Nothobranchius furzeri: one gene and its partners. The protein of the gene in region 6 interacts with the protein of the main gene of each other region in a biochemical or structural test. Links are inferred from orthologs where the notes say so. Each region holds a gene or a part of one and is shown on either strand. Other genes may lie near its edges.

Region 1 (3,647 bases), on a different chromosome or scaffold from region 6:
AGAGGGTTCTGGTGTTAGCCGGATCCTCCTCTCCTCTCAGAGGGTTCAGGTGTTAGCCGGATCCTCCTCTCCTCTCAGAGGGTTCAGGTGTTAGCCGGATCCTCCTCTCCTCTCAGAGGGTTCAGGTGTTAGCCGGATCCTTCTCTCCTCTCTGACGGTTCAGGTGTTAGCCGGATCCTTCTCTCCTCTCAGAGGGTTCAGGTGTTAGCCGGATCCTCCTCTCCTCTCAGAGGGTTCAGGTGTTAGCCGGATCCTCCTCTCCTCTCAGAGGGTTCAGGTGTTAGCCGGATCCTCCTCTCCTCTCAGAGGGTTCAGGTGTTAGCCGGATCCTCCTCTCCTCTCAGAGGGTTCAGGTGTTAGCCGGATCCTTCTCTCCTCTCAGAGGGTTCAGGTGTTAGCCGGATCCTCCTCTCCTCTCAGAGGGTTCAGGTGTTAGCCGGATCCTCCTCTCCTCTCAGAGGGTTCAGGTGTTAGCCGGATCCTCCTCTCCTCTCAGAGGGTTCAGGTGTTAGCCGGATCCTTCTCTCCTCTCTGACGGTTCAGGTGTTAGCCGGATCCTTCTCTCCTCTCAGAGGGTTCAGGTGTTAGCCGGATCCTTCTCTCCTCTCAGAGGGTTCAGGTGTTAGCCGGATCCTCCTCTCCTCTCAGAGGGTTCAGGTGTTAGCCGGATCCTCCTCTCCTCTCTGACGGTTCAGGTGTTAGCCGGATCCTCCTCTCCTCTCAGAGGGTTCAGGTGTTAGCCAGATCCTCCTCTCCTCTCTGAGGGTTCAGGTGTTAGCCGGATCCTTCTCTCCTCTCTGACGGTTCAGGTGTTAGCCAGATCCTCCTCTCCTTTCAGAGGGTTCAGGTGTTAGCCGGATCCTTCTCTCCTCTCAGAGGGTTCAGGTGTTAGCCGGATCCTTCTCTCCTCTCAGAGGGTTCAGGTGTTAGCCGGATCCTTCTCTCCTCTCTGACGGTTCAGGTGTTAGCCGGACCCTCCTCTCCTCTCAGAGGGTTCAGGTGTTAGCCGTATCCTTCTCTCCTCTCTGACGGTTCAGGTGTTAGCCGGATCCTTCTCTCCTCTCAGAGGGTTCAGGTGTTAGCCATATCCTTCTCTCCTCTCTGACGGTTCAGGTGTTAGCCGGATCCTTCTCTCCTCTCAGAGGGTTCAGGTGTTAGCCGGACCCTCCTCTCCTCTCAGAGGGTTCAGGTGTTAGCCAGATCCTCCTCTCCTCTCTGAGGGTTCAGGTGTTAGCCAGATCCTCCTCTCCTCTCTGAGGGTTCAGGTGTTAGCCGGATCCTCCTCTCCTCTCAGAGGGTTCAGGTGTTAGCCGGATCCTCCTCTCCTCTCTGAGGGTTCAGGTGTTAGCCGTATCCTCCTCTCCTCTCAGAGGGTTCAGGTGTTAGCCAGATCCTCCTCTCCTCTCTGAGGGTTCAGGTGTTAGCCGGATCCTTCTCTCCTCTCTGACGGTTCAGGTGTTAGCCGTATCCTCCTCTCCTCTCAGAGGGTTCAGGTGTTAGCCGTATCCTCCTCTCCTCTCAGAGGGTTCAGGTGTTAGCCGGATCCTCCTCTCCTCTCTGACGGTTCAGGTGTTAGCCGGATCCTTCTCTCCTTTCAGAGGGTTCAGGTGTTAGCCAGATCCTCCTCTCCTCTCTGAGGGTTCAGGTGTTAGCCGTATCCTTCTCTCCTCTCTGACGGTTCAGGTGTTAGCCAGATCCTCCTCTCCTTTCAGAGGGTTCAGGTGTTAGCCGGATCCTTCTCTCCTCTCAGAGGGTTCAGGTGTTAGCCGGATCCTTCTCTCCTCTCAGAGGGTTCAGGTGTTAGCCGGATCCTTCTCTCCTCTCTGACGGTTCAGGTGTTAGCCGGACCCTCCTCTCCTCTCAGAGGGTTCAGGTGTTAGCCGTATCCTTCTCTCCTCTCTGACGGTTCAGGTGTTAGCCGGATCCTTCTCTCCTCTCAGAGGGTTCAGGTGTTAGCCATATCCTTCTCTCCTCTCTGACGGTTCAGGTGTTAGCCGGATCCTTCTCTCCTCTCAGAGGGTTCAGGTGTTAGCCGGATCCTTCTCTCCTCTCAGAGGGTTCAGGTGTTAGCCATATCCTTCTCTCCTCTCTGACGGTTCAGGTGTTAGCCGGATCCTTCTCTCCTCTCAGAGGGTTCAGGTGTTAGCCGGATCCTTCTCTCCTCTCTGACGGTTCAGGTGTTAGCCGGACCCTCCTCTCCTCTCAGAGGGTTCAGGTGTTAGCCGGATCCTTCTCTCCTCTCAGAGGGTTCAGGTGTTAGCCGGATCCTACTTTGGGTTTTGTGGGTTGCTGAGGGTATTCCTGACGTGTACCGTTACTATGGGAACGTGACAGAGGTTCTTTCTCTGTCCGTGCGCCCCAGGGCAGCTGTGGCTACATCGTAGCTCATCACCATCAGTGTGTGAATGGATGAATGATACGCTGTAGTGTTGTAGAGTGGCGCTATACAAGTATTTCTGCTGGAGTAGACCAGAACCCTGACTGGGACATTTGAGGTTCTGGTGTGGTGAACGTTTGGGATTAGGCTCGTTCTCCTGATCCGTGTCCGACTCACAGGGATGAGGAGAATCGCTGTCACGCATTCTGGGAGCGTTGCGTTACTGATGGAGCTGCACAGCTGGGGCTTGTGGAAGGGAGGCCGCCCGTAGCCAGTCGGAGACTACGGTACGGAGGACAGATTAAGGAGCTGCACAGAAGCTTATGGAGGCCACGTGGGGCGTAGGCGTGTCTGATGTCATAGTTTACCTGTCGCCACCTTCACCTGTCAGATCAACAGAGTCCTCCTCATGTCCCAGCTGGGGGTGGAGATGTGGGACGGGGACGTGACGTGTTTGTTGGACCGTCCGTGACTGTCTGTCTCTGTCTCTCAGCTGTTATTGCAGGCGGCGTGATCGGCTTCCTGTTCGCCATCTTCCTCATCCTCCTGCTGGTCTACCGAATGAGGAAGAAGGACGAAGGCAGCTACGACCTGGGAGAGCGGAAACCCTCCGGAGCAGCCTATCAGAAAGCTCCAACCAAGGAGTTTTATGCGTAGCGTCTGGAACCGGATGGAGCGCCGGTCGGACTCTGGGTCTGACACACGGAATGACGTGTTGACTTGACTGACGCGGCTCAGAGGGAATGTTCTAGATTGCTGTAATTCCAACCTTTTGTCTTTGTGAGCAGAGTTGTGTTGATGGAGTCGCTGCCGTCCGACACCGAACCTCGAGTCTAGCAGCTGCTCTCCCGACAACTAAACCGGAGCGTTTGATTAGAATTCCTCAGACTGAAAGTTCCCGGTCCTAGCACAAGTTAATGTGTCACAACGATGCGGGAGGACGCGCCGGTCTCCATGGTAACACTGATAATGTCTCACGGAAACCCTCCTGCTCTCACTTGGCTTATTCCATTTCCTCGGACTGTAAATCAGACGCGAGTCTTTCCCGCTTCATCCGTGTGAGATGGAAAACCACACCCACACACCCACACACACACACACACACACACACACACACACACACGCACACGCACACGCACACACACACAGAGCACTTTGACCAGAACCAGAACCAGTTGGGCCCATGTTCTGCCTTCCCCTGCTGTTCACTAACAGGAAGTAGATTCCTGCCAGGATACCCCCCCCCCCCCCCCCCCCCCCGTGGCCACAC
Region 2 (3,647 bases), on a different chromosome or scaffold from region 6:
CAGTGACCTTGAGTTCCCTGAAAGGCGCTTTAAATAAAATGTATTATTATCATTATTACTATTATTGTCATTAAAACCCTAATGTACTCATCAGCCTTTGAATGAATTGTTTCTTATGCTGCATCGTCTCCACTGTAATCTGGGATGTAATTGTTCAACCTTTATTCTGCCTTTTCCTTTTAGCTCTAAATTATAATTTTATCTGTGTATATTTTAATTTGTGTTCTCCTGTTTATGTCGTCGTGCCATTTCATGCTAATTATAAAGCACATTTAATTGCCCTGTGTTTGAAATGTGCTCTACAAATACAGCTGCCTTGCTTTGCCTTGTCTTGCCTTTACAATAATGAATGATTCAAAAATAACAGTTTGATCTTGAAATGCCTTATTTCAGATCTTAAATACACCAAATGAGTCTACTTGATGATTTAATAATGATTTCGTAATTAGACTCATTTGGTGTATTTAAGATCTGAAATAAAGCATTTCAAGAATAAACATTCATGCTGATTCATTCATTACTGTAAAGCAGTCGAGACATTATTAAATCACTTTAGATAAAACATTCATTGTAGATGAAATGGAATATAATATATAATATAATCAACCCGTAAAGTGAAGTAAATAATTTTATGAGACTGAGTAAGATTCTTTATTAAAGTTATAAAAGAGTCTCGTCTTGTGCCTGCAGATACTGAAACAGGTTGTCATGGCTTCGACCTCTTGGTGGCAAGGTCACAAACAATGTTTTCTGGTTTGGAGACCAAACAGTTAACCTGTGGCACACTGATGTAGCAGGCTGTGGACATTGTCTTAACCTTTGTATTCCAACTTTCTCCAACTCTACAGAGGATTATTACCAGTACTACATGTGTAGCATAGTTAGTATTACCAATACTACATGTGCAGTTTACCAGAGGATTACCAGTACTGCACTTGTAGTACAGATGAGTATTACCAGCACTACATGTGTAGTACAGAGATGTGTTATCAGTGGTGGTGGTGTTACTCTCCTGTCCTCTTTTTTTCAGGGTCCATCCTGCTGGGACGATGTCCTTCTTCCAGGAAGAATCCATGGCCTCTGTCAGGCCGACGGTTGTCATGGTAACACAGCGGTAAGGGGTGGAGCTTAATCAATGTTTAATTGAGAACTGACTGAACCTTACTCTCACTGGGAAATTGGGTTCAGGAATTCTACATGAAATGTGCGTCTCACCCAACATCAGAGGATGACACGTCTGTGACCCTTGACCTCATTATGATGAATATCAGAAACGTCCCATGCATCGCCTGTACCGACATAACGTAAAACACACACACACACACACACACACACACACACACACACACACACACACACACACACACACACACACACACACACACACACCAAACAAACTTTCCATTCCTGGCACTTTGCTACCAGGACTGTAGTTACTTCTGCTACTCCCCTACAATAACCCCCACCCCCCACCCCAACACACGTTTGAAACATTCAGGCACACACACCCTGCAGGCATGATTCTCGTCCCTGCATGGTTAAAGTTCACGTTAATGCACATGGAAATGAAGATTAACTAGAGGTAGAGGAGCAATGAATGTGTTTGACCTTCTATCATCGGGGCAACATGCCAGTGCCCAGTGTTTGGCAGCATTACGTCACGCTGCGAGAAGGGGGGAGGTTAGGAGCCAAGATGCAGAACCAGGGAGACACGAGGCAGGAGGTGGAATAAACATAAAAAAAAAACCTTTATTAGGAGTGATTGTCCCAAAGTGAATCCAATAGTGCAAGAAGCCGAAACCAAAAATCCAAAAATCTTAGTATGAAAGCCAAGAGACCTAGAGACAAAGTGACCCCTTAAAGAGCAGACCTGGAGATATCCAAAAACCAAGAGATTGCCAAAAATCCTAGAGACCGGGGGGGGGGGGGGGGGGGGGGGGGCAAGACGACGCTGACACAAACAATGGACCGACAAACACAGAAAGACAGGACAGGGTTTTATACTCAGGGGCTGGGTGATTAGGAGGATTGGGTACAGGTGATATTAATAAACAAGAGGAGGAGCAGAATAGGGCAGGTGAGGAAAGCCCCAACTAAGGCCCTGTCCACACGTAGCCGGGGATCTGCCAAAATGTAGATATTTTCCTACGTTTTGGCCTGTCATCCACACGAAAACGGATCTTTTTAAAAACTCCGGCCAAAGTGAAGATCTGCGTTTTCTCCGTTTTGGGTGTCGGCGTGTGAACAGACAAAACCGGAGTTTTAAGGTCCGCAACGTCACTTTCCGCAACAAAAAAATGCTGACATCACGTGTGCGACCTGTGTTTACACTAGCCGACAGCATGGATGCCCTCAGAGCTGCGCTCGCTTTATCAATTGTCCAAGCGCTTTCTGCTTGTTTGTTTTTGCAAGCGGAATTACTGCTCCTTGCGGAAGACCACAGACGAAGGACGAGGTTAAGAACGGGGGAAGTACTGCCACCTACAGGTCTGGCATGTCCCTAACAACGTATTTATCTGGGTACGTGTGGACAGTTTTTTTAAACGAGGTGGTGTGGATGCACGTTTTGGAGGGGTGGATATTCGTTTTCAAAAAAACCCCGGCTACGTGTGGACTAGGTCTTAAACCTGTTAAACAAAGCTACTGAACTAAATAACTTAACACTGTAGAAATAAGACACTGGAGAACTAAAGATAATAAAATTAATGACCTAGGAGTAATAGAACCAAAAACACTGGAAGACAGGGGAGGATGATGCCTAAAGGGAGAAACGAACTAGACAATCTACAATAACAGAAAACTAATGATAAGAAAAGTGACTAAGGGAAACATGAGGGAAACCTGGAGAGAACCTGGAGGGGGCTGGGGACCACAGGGAGGCACCTGAGGGGGGATGCAGACAAGGAGACACACGAGGAACACAAGGAGACACATAAGGGGAACCTAGAGAGGGATGGAGAATGCAAGGAGACACTTGAGGGAGACGCAGAATGCAGACCATGACACATTAATGCGTTAGCGTAGCACCACACAGAGCACATATTAGACTCAACCCATACTTATATTTCATCAGATCTTGCCTTTCTTAATATTATGGTAAACCTATTTGGATTAACATGGAATAAACACCCTGTCATTATAAATGAATGCAGAACGCCTGAGAAAGGGTGCGTCTGAAGCATGTGGGGCTCTAACCACCACCATGTCCCTGGTGTTGTCTCAGGGAGGTGGTCCTGGTCTTCCAGTGTGCAGCGCGCCATGTGATCTGTCTGGACTGTTTCTGCCGCTACTGTCAGACTCGCCTGAATGAGCGACAGTTTGTGTATCACTCTGTGATTGGGTATTCTCTTCCATGTGCAGGTGAGGGAATGGAGACTCGGGTGACGATGTGAACAGGTATGAATGGGACCGTAACGGTATGATCTTTGTGTTTCCAGCTGGCTGTGAGGACTCTCTGGTAAAAGAGTTGCATCATTTCAGGATTCTGGGAGATGAACAGGTGACGTACCGTCACACAGGATGTGGGTGCTTGGTTCAGACACTGTGTAGCATGATGTGTCCATGTAAACTACACACTTAGAAGGAATGGGTTTTATATAGCACTTCTTTCTGAAAGAGCCCCATAGTACTTCACAACAGCAATCGTA
Region 3 (3,647 bases), on a different chromosome or scaffold from region 6:
CAGAGTTAGCAACAACACTAAGGTAGGCTGTGGTGTTGCAATGATGATCAGTCATTACTAAAAGGCTAAGTGTGCTAAGAAAATGTCCCCCACACCATTACACCACCAGCAGCAGCCTGAACTGTTGAGACAAGGCAGGATGGAGCCATGCTTTAATTCTGTTGACAGCAAATTCTGACCCTACCATCCGAATGTGGCAGCAGAAATCGAGACTCATCAGACCAGGCAACATTTCTCCAATCTTCTGTTGTCCAATTTTTGTGAATTGTAGCCTCAGTTTCCTGTTCTTAGCTGACAGGAGTGGCACTCGGTGTGGTTTTCTGCAGCTGTAGCCCATCTGCCTCAAGGTTTGACGTGTTGTGCATTCAGTGATGCTCTTCTGCATACCTTGGTTTTACCGAGTGGTTATTTGAGTTACTGTTGCCTTTCAACTCAAACCAGTCAGGCCATTCTCCTCTGATCTCTGGCATCAACAAGGAATTTTTGCTGACATAAGTAATGAGATCAATTCCCAGCACTTAGGTTTTGTAATTCAATGAAGGAAAAAATGCCTTATTGAAAAGTGACTGACTTTTAAAATAAAGTGCATTGCATCTCCATTTGTTTGTTTTTGTGTCTGTTTGCATGTGCTTGTTGGGTCGTGTATGTCCATGTTATATTGTGCTGTCATCTCTGCCTCTGTGTACGTGTTTGTCCATGTGTGTCGGTGTGTGTATGTGTGTTTTGTGTAGGAATGCGCCCTCTGCATTATGCTGCATGGCAGGGGAAGACTGAACCAATGAAAATGCTGCTGAAAGCAGGCTCGTCAGTCAACGGACAGTCAGAAGAAGGACAGATTCCTCTGCACCTGTCGGCTCAGCATGGACACTACGATGGGGTAACTGTGTGTGTGTGTGTGTGTGTGTGTGTGTGTGTGTGTGTGTGTGTGCGTGCGTGCGTGCGTGTGTGTGTGTGTGCGCGCGCGCGCGTGCGTGTGTGTGCGCATGTGTGTGTGTGTGTGTGTGTCTGTCTGCTATGCAGACCTGATGATGCAAACATGAAATACTTGTTAGGACAATCAGATGTAACCAGTGAGTTGTGTGTGTGTGTGTGTGTGTGTGTGTGTGTGTGTGTGTGTGCGTGCGTGCATGTGTGTGTGTGTGTGTGCGTGTGCGCGTGCGTGTGTGTGTGTGTGTGTGTGTGTGTCTGCTATGCAGACCTGATGATGCAAACATGAAACACTTGTTAAGACAATCAGATGTAACCAGTGAGTTGTGTGTGTGTGCGTGCGTGTGTGTGTGTGTGTGTGTGCGTGTGTGTGTGTGTGTGAATATGCTACAGTCTGAGATGCTACTACAACATCAGTCCAACCCGTGTATCTCAGATTCAGCTGGAAAGACTCCGCTGGACCTTGCTTGTGAATTTGGACGTGTTGGCGTGAGTACCTACGCACAACAGAACACTGATGTATGCTCTGGTCACTTTATTAGGTACACCTCAGAACTTAATTCTTTATTATATTCACATATTCAGCAAAGTGCCGGACCAGATGAGTTGCTACCATCTGATTGGCTGGTGAGCTATTAGGTGTAACTAAAAAAGTGGCCAGTAGATGTAAATTATGTTTTTCCCATAAAAACAAAACCTTTTAAAAATTGCACTTCCAGAACTTTCAGATGTGTGACTGGAGTGTGAGAAGCGAGGGAGGAATCTTTCAGTAAAGGCTGTTTCTACCTGTGTGTGTGTTGGTTCGGATCGATTAGTGATTTTAGTGTGTGTGTGTGTGTGTGTGTGTGTGTGTGTGTGTGTGTGTGTGTGTGTGTGTGTGTGTGTGTGTGTGTGTGTGTGTGTGTGTGTGTGTGTAGGTGGTCCAGCTTCTGCTCAGCAGCAACATGTGTGCAGCCATGCTGGAGCCAAGACCTTCTGACCCAAACGGGGTGTCACCTCTGCATCTTGCGGCTAAGAATGGACACATAGAAGTCATAAGGTCTGAAGCAGCTCTGCTCTTGTTCTGCCTCCCTCAGTCTGCTTTCACACCTCCTCATTCAGTGTGTGTGTGTGTGTGTGTGTGTGTGTTTGTGTGTGTGTGTGTGTGTGTGTGTGTGTGTGTGTGTGTGTGTGTGTGTGTGTGTGTGTGTGTGTGTGTGTGTGTGTGTGTCTTTAGACAAACCTGAGCAGTTCCCATGAAGCTTTCCTGCAACATTATTCTTTTAGATAACTTTTCTACGTTTACTTATTTTCAACAGTCCTTCTTCAGGATCCTTTTCAAATAGATGGAGACTTAATTTTAGTAAAGGTAGCTAAACAGCACTGAATCAAAGCCACACACACTATGTTGACCAGCATTTGCTACACAACACCGACTAATAAAACCAGTTCACATTAGCTTCAGCCCTGTAGCAAACTACTACTGCTGAATCTGCTGCTCCTTTATAACATTGTACAATGTTGGTGGCATAGACTTCCTCTGCTGGGGTTCATTAAACCCTTAAAAACTCCCTCGACTCCACGACTGCTTGTTCTGTCATGCTCGTCCTCTCACATATACAGCGAACACTAAAGAAACGGCCATCAAGTAGACTAAACTTGATTTTCCACCAGGGGGGTTCTTTAAATGGGGTTAAATGTCATCTTCGTGTCACATTTAACTGCAGCACAAGTTTGCTTACTTTGTTTTCTGCTCAGGCGGCTGCGCTGGATGTCTGGCACAAAAGCACAAACTGCAGCCTGCTTAATTAAGAAAATTTAATATCGAAATGTTTAAAATACAATAATAATGGTAGAAATAGAAAATTAAAACCATATTTGCTGGATTTGATTGCCCACTTTAGGGAACACGTATTTGTTTTTAGTTTGTTTGTTTTTTTGTCTTACATTGGTAGAATTAAATCATGAACACGTTCTATCAAAGATATGGTTTATATGTTGCAGGTTGTTGATTCAGGCTGGTATAGATATCAACAGACAGTCTGAGTGTGGCACAGCTCTACATCAGGCTGCCCTCTGTGGGAAGACAGAGGTAGTGCGCCTGCTGCTGGATGTAAGTGATGACCACCTCTTAAAGTCTAAAGAAGCTAAAACTCAAAGCTTATTTTTATCCTGCCTCACATGAAATGTTTTTACAGAGGCGGCAGCGTTGATCAGTTTTCTGCTCTGCTTCATTCTAGAGTGGCATCAGTGCAGGAGTGAGGAACACTCTGAGTCAAACCGCTCTGGATATCGTTAACCAGTTCACCACCACGCAGGCCAGTAGAGAGATCAAACAGCTGCTCAGAGGTGAAGCACAACAATGCACTCACACAACTCTTCTAGTTCTTGTAGAAACAGAATAAAAACAAACAGCAACAAAAAAATTCTTAATGAGAATCAGTTTATATTAGAAAGTCTTATCTTGTGTCTGCATTCTTGTTTTGTAGATGCTTCGGCTGCAATGCAGGTGCGAGCACTGAAGGATTACTGCAACAACTATGACCTTACCAGTCTGAACATCAAAGCTGGAGATATAATCACGGTACTGCCCCTAAAAAAATGAAGTAAAAAATGATGTGTGTGTGTGTGTGTGTGTCATAGGCGTCATTTTAACCAGGGACATGTCCCCGGCAAAATTTGTGATTGGCAGCTGTGTCCCCCCCACTTTCAAAAAAGCCTGCTGATGAGGATTTTTGTTT
Region 4 (2,926 bases), on a different chromosome or scaffold from region 6:
ATTTTACCATTGTAACTGTGCACCTCCTCCAGATCCGTATGCCAGCCGTGTGACGTTGTACTCCCGCAGTAATTTGAGATTCTCCAAAGTGACTCGTGAGGACACTGGAGTGTACACCTGTGAGGCGTCCAGCTCCACTAGTGGATTACAGAAAGCCACTGTAAAGCTGACGGTATTGGGTGAGTATGTGGACACCACTTGCACTGATGTTCAGACTGATCTTACACATAATGGGTCCACATAATAACCCCTCCATCGTGTTTCACAGTGCCACCATCTGTACCCATATGTGGAGTCCCCGATTCGGTGACGACGGGTAAATCTGCCACCCTGACCTGTTTTGACCCCGCTGCTTCACCCCCTCCCACATACAGGTGGTACAAAGATGGGACCCTCCTGCCCAGTGACCCCAGCAAGTTTGCTGGTTTCCAAAATGCCACCTACAAACTGGACCCAGCAACTGGGAAACTGGTCAGCTTTGCATCGTAATATTGTCTAAAACCTTTACAGCTTAAGTTTTAGAAAAACTTTTAAGAAACTTGATCAATACACCAAAACTGTGTCACGTTGCTGCAGGATTTTCCTTCTGCTGCCAAGATGGATTCAGGTCAGTACTACTGTGAGGTCTCCAACGAAGCTGGCCCAACTCAGAAATGTCAAGCACGGAGAATGGAAGTCCGTAAGTAGCATCATTTGTTTTCTCTTTTACCAGAGTTGGTACAAATGGTTTCTAACTCAGATGACTTAAACGTAAAACATTAATGTGGTAATGTTAAATTTATTGATTTAGAATAGATTTTATTAATCTAATGACTCCCGTTGTGATTTCTTCAAGGTGACTTGAACACTGGAGGAATTGTTGCAGGGGTAATAATTTTTCTGCTGCTTCTGGGCCTCGTGATATTTGGTGTTTGGTATGCCAAGAAGAAAGGCTATCTGCCCAGTAAGTTTTCTGCATTGCATCACAAACATTCATGAGTATACATAGTCGAAATTTGACTGAAAGTTGTATGTTTAATGTTAGGCACCATTAATTTTAACGTGCTCCTGTTTCTTTTCTTTCCATAGCAGCAAAGACTGAAGGGTAAGACGTTTTTATATCGAGGATATTTGATATGTAAACTTTTTAAAATACTGATTTACAGATTTATTTACTAATAATATCAATGTTTGATTGTACACATTCTTGGGTCATTAGGAGTGGTATGTGTATATATATCTATATATATACACACACACACACACACACACACACACACACACACACACACACACACACACACACACACACACACACACACACACACACACACACACACACACACACTTATTATTTATTTGTTTGTCCCCACAGTAAACACAGGATGGATGCAGTCTACCAGCCCACATCACATGGTGGGGATGATGATAACGTGAGTATTTTAATGTATTTTTAATATTTTAATTGGAGTGTATGTTTGAAAAGGTCAAAGATGTCTGAGACTTGTTTTGTTTCACAGGGGGAATTCAAACAGAAGTCGTCATTTGTGGTGTAATCAACAGTCCGCTTACAGACTTGAACTTCCCTGTTTATTGTGATTTTTATAGTTTTTTTGAGTGCTGTTTCTATACATATGAGTGATGTGCTTTCAGAGTGACAATTGATTCAGATAATCTGCAGATTAAATACTTTTAATAAGAAATAAGGGAGTCTGTTTTTTTACATTTGTCGTGTTGGGCTGAAGCAGCTGCCCAGTGCGTTTCTACTTATGGAGTTATTATTATTTTGTTTAATCTAAATTCTGTATATCCAAGGTAATTGTTTACTATGAAGAAGAGAGAACAAAACCTCCTAGGACTATATAACAAATGCTGCTAATTAAAATACCTTCTCGAGTAGTTGTGCACCAACCAAGAAATACATTATCTGCAGTTATAACCTTACTTTAATATTTATAACTGCAGTTTAGCTTAAATGTTAAACTGATGTGGCTCAGCTCTGTTGGGGTGTTCGTTTTTCTCTGATGCATTGTACAAATTAGTTCTATTGAAGGGTTATTTTTGTAAATAAAGCTGCGTTCACTTAGAAAATTATTAGACTTGGTTGTCTCAGCGCTTTTGATGTTGATAAAACATTATATGATATTGTAATGTTTTTATTTTTTTACATTTTGTGCATACAAATTGTGTCACTTTTTTGATTTGCGTAACATCTTGTTGAATGCAATATGAAATCTTTTACTTTTTAAATAGACAATGAAATTCACAAATTTAAAAGCATGAATATTTGTGCAAAAACGTGGGTTGTGTGTTTTTTAGGGATCAGATAGAATAGACATTTATATGAACTCGGTAGTTGTAGTTTCCAAACTCAGAAATGTTTTTATACACATTTTTTTAAAAGTAATTTGGTTGTAATGATTTCAACTGATGTGAAAATACACTAACAATATTTGAAAACTGCTTTTGTCATTTCTTTTGTAAACAGGGTATACTCCATTAATAAAAATAGGTCTTTTGTGTCAATCTCAAAATTCACATAATTGATTTCATCATCTGCATGATTTTGATGTACAGAAGTTCATGTTGTGTCTCCATTAAAATTCAATCTGTAGTTTGTGTGCTGCTTGTCTTACACATATTTACACATTTTTTATAATTGAAATACAAAATGAAAAATAAATTAGCATGGCTAACACCATTATGAATTAACACAAACATATTTCAGTTTGAGTCTTGATTTTAAATACAACCCAATTTAAAGACATTGAAGTTCAAAATAATGATTTATGGTATTTTGTAGGCTATGAGAAAATAAATATGCTAAAAGCTTTCTGTATTGGCTAGTGTTGCGTTGCTGTGGTAACGTGATGGCGTGCAACTTCCCCTCCTGAAAGGTGCGCATGCGTATAGGATCGACATCCTATTACGCAAACAGGAAGTGTGA
Region 5 (4,181 bases), on a different chromosome or scaffold from region 6:
GAAGTCCATCGAGCTAGCCATGCTGCAGACACCGTGGTATCCGAACAGGTGTTAGGTAGATGTTCTGGGAATTTCTCCTACCCCGTAAACCATCCTACTGTAGTTGATGAGCATGTGCGCGCATGCGCACAACACAAAAAGGGAACGCTACTCCGCTGTCATATTTGCAAGAAAATAGATTAGTAAGTATTAGTACTTTTTATTGATGTTGATACTTGATTTTTTTGGGTAAGAATTAGGGTTATGGTTAGGGTTTGTGTCATGTAAAACACCGTAAAATTATCCTACGGATAGGACATTTTGCCAAAGTCGGACGTTTTCTCAGAACACCCGGAAGTAAGATGGACAGAGCGGGGCTTAACCTATGGGCTTAACGCATGGGAGCAAAGTGAGAGACCACGCCCAAATTTAATTTAGCTTCAAGTGAAACAATAAAAAAAACTCCTAATATCTGCTTTCTTTTCTTGAATTGCCCAAATTTAATGTTGACACGTGCATCCAGTTCAAATTGAAAACCCGGTGTGTTTGTTCTGCTTTTGAGAATCCTGGTGTCACCGCTCCATGGATTTTGTAATCTTATTTCCAGTGAATGTTCTGGTAATTTTCTATGTATTTACGTGTAAAGTACATAATATTTAAATAGTTTGGGTTCACCTGCAGAGGTCTTCATTTCAGTAATCAAAAGGGATCAGAAGATGAGCAGGTGGCTGGTACAGTCTGTGTCCAGGAGAGGGCGCCCTTTTCTCTTTCCTCAGCCTCGTTCGTGTTTGAGGATGTTAAAACACCTGATGCTATGTGTGATCTCCTTCTTTAAAGCAAACTTAAGTTCATGACTTACTTTAACATGCAGGTTTTTATTACGCTGCTTAAGACACGTTTTCACCTTTCTGAAAGTCACAGCTTTAGTTGCTTTTGTTAAAAGTCCTTGTTTCTGACTTACACACGTCAGCTTTCTGTGTGTTTGTGATAGCACTGAGTGTGTGTATCCATGTGTTTATGTCCTCCCAGAACTCCGGTAGAGTTCACCTGATGAATGACTGTGTGATGTCCACTAAAAAAGCCAATTTGCTGCATTTTATCAGTGTTCCCTGCAGGAATGTCTAGAGGTGTTTTGATCTTCCCTCTCCTGAAACTGTGCGTAACGAGAAGCTGATAAAAAGTTTCAGGTTGGATGTCCCAGAATCGTTTCTGCTAGACTCACAGGAGAGGAGCAGCTTTGGCGACTTGGCCAATAAAGAAGCGCGGACAACCCTCTCACACGGAGTGAAGAGGCAGCGCAACAGGAGCGGACCTGGAGCCGCCACCCCCCACCCACCCACACACACACCAACACCATCCTCTGGGGTGGAGAGGAGGATAAAGGCCGAACCCTCCCCGGAGCGCCAGGAGGACACACCGATGAGAGCGGCGCAGGGACCCTCGGCTGCACACGGATCAAAACTGGCGGCGCTTTTAGGATGCAAAAGTCACCGGTGGAAGATGCAAACTTCCTCTCCAAGTTTGTCTTTTGGTAAGGCTGTTAGACCGTTTCTGACTAACACCTGGACACGTGCTGAAGCTTTCCAAAACAAGTTCTGCTGCCGGTGCGTAAATGCGGTTGGACTGGCGCGCTCCAGTGCGCAGGTTGTTTTAGGGTCTTATGGTCATCATAAAACAGGGATTTGATTTGTGGTGATTAATCTGGATTGTTCAAACAGAAAGCCTCCGATAAGAAACAATTAACATCTTTGTTCTTGTTTGGAGAGAAAGAGATCAGTTTTGACCCAAACTGCAACAGCTAATAGCTACCTCAAGACTTCCACAGCAGTTACAAATGCAATTATACCTTCCCATGTGCAAAATTGTCACGTTTCATGGTGATTCCAGTAGAAATGTGATGAGATTTCAGCCAGAATAAAACTGAAGTTGTCTTAACCAATTCCTGCTGCAAATTACAGAAAGCAAAAAAAGCACGTGAAGCTGCGTTTGTGCTGATGTATTCTTAAGCAACACTTGCTTGAGATCTGAAGGTGGCAGGAGCATCTCTGGTCAGAACTCATCTCTGCTTCTCCAAACTGGGTGTTTTTATTACATCATCAACTTCTGGTAAGATATTACTGGTTAATGACAGTTTCAGAAAACGCACTAAAATGTCCTTTTGTGATTTCCAGGCACGAACCATGACACCATTCTTATTTTATAGTTTTATTCATATTTTGACAAAAAAAAAGAAAAAGTAAAAAAAAATTCACCTTTTGAAACAAACTTGTCAGAGTTGTTAACCATTTCTTGTTCTTTTCTTACACAGTGTTAGTAAAAAGATTTTCAGGGTTGTAAACGTCTGCTCCAATCAGCACGCATTCCAATCCTGAAGTATTTAATCAACAACTAAATAGTAGTTTCGTATAAAAGCAATAGTTACACTTGATTGTTGGCCACGCTCCGTATGGGTCTGCAGGTCTACCATTGGCCTGAACAATTTTAGATCTGGTCAGTCAGCGCTCTGGTTGTAGATCGATGTTGGGCACCAGAGCTGCGATGGATAAAACTACAAAGATGCCTGTTTGAAACGGCTTTGGCATCATTTTTAAACGATTTAGACTTGGGCCTTTCTTTGAGACGTGAGCAGATAGAGGTAGTTAAGTCTTTTATTTAGAAAATGGATGTATCTATTTCTTCTTCAACGACTCTGTGTGATGGACTGCCCTTTGACAAATTTATGTTGTCTTGGACGCATCATGATGTCCGTTGGTCTGATTGGTCCTTATGCTGTCCAATTGGGTGCAGACAACGTTTGAAAGACAACCGTAGATCCTGCCCCATGACTGAGCTCTGTCTATGGGTCGTGGCCAGACTATAGGATGACAGCCCAGGCTACTGATTTACTATAATATTAGTTCAGCTGAGGTCAGTCCCTCCACTTGACTAATATCAGACCAGTAGAACTAACAATCACTCTAACAGAACCTTCCTGACAGCATGAAATAGGCAAAAAGATCTCAAAAAGCAACACATCAACACACTCAAGAACTAAAGGACCTAACTCAGCTAATGAGAACTGGCCCACTTCCAAGTCCAAAACCTCTGTTCACCCAGAAACAACACAGCCATCTCCAAAAAACATTTTGGGATCAAATTCTTCTAGAAAAGTGTTCTGGGGACTGAAGAGACAAAAGTAGAACTTATTGGAAGGTATGTGTCCTGTTCCACATGAATGTGACTTCTCTTCTTACATTCTGAGACCCTCATCACCACAATGTTGCACAAAAAACAAAGTTTTTCTGACATTTTGCTTGAATTCATTTTGTGTTTGAATCAGTTACGGTAATTGCCTGTTTACTTGTCTTAGTGCGCGGACATGTGGTCAGTTAGAGAGCTTGGGGAGACATGAACACATGAAAGCTTTGCCTGTAATTCTCAGCTGTGGGTCAATGATGAGAAACCACACACAAACACACTCACAGGTCCTTATGTTTGCTCCATACACAGGACTGATGTGTTCCATCTTCTTGGGACTACAGATTGAATCAAAGCTTCCTTCCCTTTCACTGAGAACCATCCCTCCTACAGCACTTTATTACAGCTGCTTCTGTCATTATTCACCTCAGAAATAGCTCGTTACAGCACATTCACCTTAAAGCTTTTACTTTTGTTTGCCAGAGACTTTCTCTCACCACATCATTAAATCTGATTTAACCGTGTCTAGTATGAAGTGGGGTTGTTATATAGTTGTTGTCACTGAGACATTCCTCAGCTTCCTTTTTATTTAAAGGGACTATAAGGAATTTGAAATTTTGATGCACACGATTGCCCCCTCAGGCCCAATGCGTAACTGCAGCTTCAATAATAAGCTAGTGCAAGAGGCGTGCATGCTGTACGTGCACACTCCTGAATGAAAACAACAGCTGAGTCAGTCCTGCACCGGTGCAGTTTTCAGGTTTAGACTGTTTTACACAATTCTAATAAAGTAGACAAATAATGTACTCTGATGTATACATGCTAGACAAGCAGCCTAAAAAAATGTTCTATCATTTACAGAAGGCCCCGGCTTGCTTTGGAAACTATCAACCCTTTTACCCCATTACTATTTTATTAGTTAAAATTGTAAATTAGTATGATTAAAATGGCCCAAATTACTTTGGTGTGTAAAATAAATTCTAAAAGTATAAATAAAGTGATATTAAGGCAGATTTGGTGTGGTG
Region 6 (3,647 bases):
GGACAATTTGTCCTTCATAGCAGGTCTGGTCATCTAAAGGGTTGAGAGCATCACACACATCATGCAGTAGAAAATGTTGGGGCGCATTAACAAAGGACGTGTGACGGGGGACGCTACACTTTACACTTCTGTCTGTGTGAAGGATTGTTTTGATCATTGGGAAGGAATCCATCAGTTTTTGGGAGGAGAAACGTGACGAATCAGAGGACGAAAGTGAAGGAACGGGAACGCGGACGTCACGAATGACTAGATCTCACCTGACGGCCCTTGGGTTGGATCGTCGCCGGCAGGTCCTGGTGGAGGACACGAGTTTATGGCAGCATGTAAAAACACCGTGTGTAAAAGGTGGATGTGAATACACGCACATACCAGGATGGAGCTGGTCACACTAGCGTGACCATTTGCAGGCGACTGGCGAGACAGATCCGGAGACTCTTTCTGCAGCAGGTTTTCAAAATAAAAGTATATTTCACTCTAAATGCAACAGGAACAAATGAGTATGTGTGTGAGTTCATGTGGAGGTTTTTTTTACCTCACAGGACATGGATTGGGACCGGTAACTGGGCACGATCTTAAAAGTGATGCTCCCCCTCATCTCCCTCTGTGGAGACAATGGTGGCAACACTTATTCCGTCTGTTTTCTATCAGACTGCGTAAAAAAAGTCAGACTAGTGTGACAAACCAGCATCCTCTGGAGCTGTTCTACCGTCTGATTCGCTACACTGATGCCGTTGATCTCTCGGATCTCATCTCCAACATGCAGAGTCCCTGAGGCGGGGAAACAGTGAAGTAATTAAAGTGCTAATGCATCAACGCTTCAGAGAGCAGGGGCCAAGAAAAATAATAGTTAAATGTAAGCTCTTTCAAAATAAAAGCACATTCAAAAAGAATTCTGCTGCTAGTGAGATTTGTACAGTTATACTTTATACCTTGTCGATGAATCATTCCACCATGCATGATGCGAGCCACAATACAGTGGTTGAGGTCATTCATTTTTAGAGTAATGCCCTAGAACAGAGAGTGGGACAGATGTAATCAATTACAAGGTATCATAATAAAACAGTCTTTAGATCAAAGCATCAGCTAACACTGCTGTAATGTTTACAAGAACTGCAGCCGTTTACAAGAAGGGACACAGCAGACTGCACTTCTTGAGGACGCTTAGGTCCTTCAATGTCTGTAGCAAGATGCTGCAGATCTTCTACAAGTCTGTTGTTGAGAGTGTAATCTCTCCAGCCATCGTCTGTTGGGGTAGCAGCATCAGAAGCAGGGACCTGAAAAGGCTCAACAGCCTGATAAAAAGGCTGGTTCTGTTCTGGGGACGACTGTGGAACCGCTGGAGGAGATCATGCAAAGAAGGATTCTCCAGAGAATCAAGAAAATGATGGACAACCCTGAGCATTCTCTTCACAAGACTGTCCGACAACGGAAGAGTGTCTTCAGTCAGAGGCTTCTTCAGTTTGGCTGCAACACTGACCGCTACTGGAGATCCTTCCTGCCAACAGCTATTGTAATATACAATAACTCTTTAATGACTTGATTATTATTATTATTCTGAGCTACTACAGCAATCAATTTCCCTCTGGGATTAACATATTATTTTTGAATTGAACTGAATGTAGCAACAGTTTACAGTATTCATCTGGTACTGCAAAGCTGGGCACAGCTCACTTTTGACCCTTTTCCACTAATAACAGGTACCAGGTCACCGTCTCTTTTTTAGTACCAGCTTTGATGAGGTTCCAAGCGCACAAAGCAAGGCCAAAAACGCAGCGTCAGACTGCTGGCCACTGATTGGCTAACGGGTGGAGTTGCCAGTTGCCCCAGAGTGTTTCGTCTTGCTTCCTGTAGTTTTTCGGGGGGGGGGGGGGGGGCTAACAAAAATCACCAACTAAACCAAATGTTCACCACCACAACATGTCTGCCACTGTTGTGTTTTTGTGTCATGTGATCGATGGCCTGCTATTACAAACCCAGCCATTTCTCATCCGTAATGGAAAACCACCCAAACCACGTAGTTGAGTCTAGCCGCGCTGAGTAGGCGCACGTGGAAAAGGGCCATTTCTACACGCAAACACTTCGGTTTATATTGTGTAAATATTTTGGACCAAGCTACACAAGCTTTAAAGCTTATAAGTGATACTACTCTAAAGTACTAAGTAGGTTTTTTTTTACTGTTTTATGTACTTTTATAAAATTGACATTCAAATGCATCACTGACCTTGCTTTAAAGAGCAAGTCACCCCCAAATAAACTTTTTTTGGCTGTTAAACTAAATAAACAAGTGACTAATCGTGCTGCAGACACGTGTCGTCAATAATTTGGCACTTCAGTGCATCTTAGTTAAAATTTAAATATTCTGCCTAAAACTGGCAGTGTTGTGCCATTGTCAGGTAAAAACTCTGCACTGTGTTTTAATTTAAATCTGCCACCGCTATTAGCTAAGAGGTATGCTATGACGTAAACTGGTACATTATGATGTCACAATGCTGTCATGAGCCTGTGTGTGTGTGTGTATTTGTTAAGCTTGGTTTATGCTTGACACATTTACTTTCCGCTTGGTGATGCGGCTCGCGGATGGAACGCGCTTCACAACTTGCAGCGTTTATGGTTCATGCGGCTCGTCTCTGCGGTGAGCCAATATTCTCCCAAACTGTAGGGGGCAGCATGGAGCTCTACGGCATGCATCCAACACTACACCATAGTAGAAGTAAAAATTACTGTTTACAACATGGCATTCCAGCATTTTTTAACAGCGTCCTCATCTTTTCCGACAGTGCGAGCTATTTCTCTCCAAGAATTATTAACAACATGTTGATCACGGTGATCTTTGAGAGCTGAATCATACAAATATCTGCCATACTAGTTCTTGCCGGTCCGCCATGTTTTTCCTCGTCCGACCGTCCGCGTGGTTAGAATATTTCCTAGGTGCGCGTTGCGGAAATTTTGGGCCGTGCGAAGGCGTGGTTGTTAAGATGACGCAACTTTTCCTCGCGGAGCCGTGCGGACCTCGCGGACGTGTCAAGCATAAACCAACCTTTAGCAGCTCCGCCTTCTCGGTCTGCCAGGTAACAGCATTTGTTGCTTTTTTTTTTACATGAAGTGAGAGTGGAGTCAGACTCTGGTAGGGGTTGACTTGCTCTTTAAAGACAGTTTGTGAAATCCTTTTTGACCAAAGTTTTAAAAAAAAACTGCCTAGCAACAATGCTCACACACCATTGGCTCGTCGGTGTTCTTCTGAAACTGGACCAGCCGAACCCTGGTCACGTTCTCCAGGTCCATGTCTCCGTTGGTGCTGTCTGGAGAGTCTCCGTTCAGGTACGGTGAAGTCGGTGGAGGGGTCACCCTCAGCGCCTCGTCGCTGTACACCTCGTGGGCCACAACATCGTGGGTCTGCAGTAGAGCCTGGATGTCCAAAGACAAACATATTTAAACATGCAAACATCTAACACTAAAGCAACGCTTTGTTTAAAGTCAGCTGAGTGAAATGTTTCATTGTTGGTCTGAAAAAATGAGAGCACGTATAATGAACAGATTTTAGAACATGGCCTGCAGGGCAGTATTCCTGGGAAAGTTACTGTCTCCTACAAAGGAAGCTAAACTAGAATTTGGCGTTTGTTTTGGGGCCTTTTTCTTGTACTAAACTA

What was found.
Region 1: the proteins of peripheral plasma membrane protein CASK (region 6) and sdc2 form a complex in vitro, tested with the Homo sapiens proteins (2 studies listed by BioGRID and IntAct, with this or other methods). The link is inferred for Nothobranchius furzeri from reciprocal best matches to the Homo sapiens genes CASK and SDC2.
Region 2: the proteins of peripheral plasma membrane protein CASK (region 6) and prkn form a complex in vitro, tested with the Homo sapiens proteins (2 studies listed by BioGRID and IntAct, with this or other methods). The link is inferred for Nothobranchius furzeri from reciprocal best matches to the Homo sapiens genes CASK and PRKN.
Region 3: the proteins of peripheral plasma membrane protein CASK (region 6) and caskin-1 interact in a biophysical measurement, tested with the Homo sapiens proteins (2 studies listed by IntAct, with this or other methods). The link is inferred for Nothobranchius furzeri from reciprocal best matches to the Homo sapiens genes CASK and CASKIN1.
Region 4: the proteins of peripheral plasma membrane protein CASK (region 6) and f11r.1 form a complex in vitro, tested with the Homo sapiens proteins (2 studies listed by BioGRID and IntAct, with this or other methods). The link is inferred for Nothobranchius furzeri from reciprocal best matches to the Homo sapiens genes CASK and F11R.
Region 5: the proteins of peripheral plasma membrane protein CASK (region 6) and cftr interact in a test that uses a peptide from one of them, tested with the Homo sapiens proteins (2 studies listed by IntAct, with this or other methods). The link is inferred for Nothobranchius furzeri from reciprocal best matches to the Homo sapiens genes CASK and CFTR.

What each region holds. Positions count from the first base shown.
Region 1 is NC_091759.1:26,347,844-26,351,490, reverse strand, and holds the end of sdc2 (syndecan-2), read left to right. Parts: intron 1-2,870; coding exon 2,871-3,034; 3' UTR 3,035-3,266; downstream 3,267-3,647. UniProt on the Homo sapiens protein: Cell surface proteoglycan which regulates dendritic arbor morphogenesis.
Region 2 is NC_091752.1:62,532,958-62,536,604, forward strand, and holds part of prkn (E3 ubiquitin-protein ligase parkin), read left to right. Parts: intron 1-1,030; coding exon 1,031-1,114; intron 1,115-1,188; coding exon 1,189-1,304; intron 1,305-3,223; coding exon 3,224-3,360; intron 3,361-3,437; coding exon 3,438-3,499; intron 3,500-3,647. UniProt on the Homo sapiens protein: Functions within a multiprotein E3 ubiquitin ligase complex, catalyzing the covalent attachment of ubiquitin moieties onto substrate proteins. Substrates include SYT11 and VDAC1.
Region 3 is NC_091744.1:16,381,705-16,385,351, reverse strand, and holds part of caskin-1, read left to right. Parts: intron 1-731; coding exon 732-877; intron 878-1,320; coding exon 1,321-1,416; intron 1,417-1,844; coding exon 1,845-1,966; intron 1,967-2,910; coding exon 2,911-3,019; intron 3,020-3,146; coding exon 3,147-3,255; intron 3,256-3,395; coding exon 3,396-3,490; intron 3,491-3,647.
Region 4 is NC_091750.1:47,706,853-47,709,778, reverse strand, and holds the end of f11r.1 (F11 receptor, tandem duplicate 1), read left to right. Parts: intron 1-32; coding exon 33-179; intron 180-268; coding exon 269-471; intron 472-576; coding exon 577-679; intron 680-835; coding exon 836-943; intron 944-1,068; coding exon 1,069-1,084; intron 1,085-1,354; coding exon 1,355-1,412; intron 1,413-1,499; coding exon 1,500-1,535; 3' UTR 1,536-2,382; downstream 2,383-2,926. UniProt on the Homo sapiens protein: Seems to play a role in epithelial tight junction formation. Appears early in primordial forms of cell junctions and recruits PARD3.
Region 5 is NC_091744.1:52,968,759-52,972,939, forward strand, and holds the start of cftr (cystic fibrosis transmembrane conductance regulator), read left to right. Parts: upstream 1-1,322; 5' UTR 1,323-1,457; coding exon 1,458-1,510; intron 1,511-4,181. Other genes in the region: asz1 (ankyrin repeat, SAM and basic leucine zipper domain-containing protein 1), read right to left, coding at 1-21. UniProt on the Homo sapiens protein: Epithelial ion channel that plays an important role in the regulation of epithelial ion and water transport and fluid homeostasis. Mediates the transport of chloride ions across the cell membrane.
Region 6 is NC_091754.1:50,601,680-50,605,326, reverse strand, and holds part of peripheral plasma membrane protein CASK, read right to left. Parts: intron 3,406-3,647; coding exon 3,217-3,405; intron 1,009-3,216; coding exon 930-1,008; intron 769-929; coding exon 683-768; intron 602-682; coding exon 533-601; intron 439-532; coding exon 370-438; intron 294-369; coding exon 258-293; intron 34-257; coding exon 1-33. UniProt on the Homo sapiens protein: Multidomain scaffolding Mg(2+)-independent protein kinase that catalyzes the phosphotransfer from ATP to proteins such as NRXN1, and plays a role in synaptic transmembrane protein anchoring and ion channel trafficking.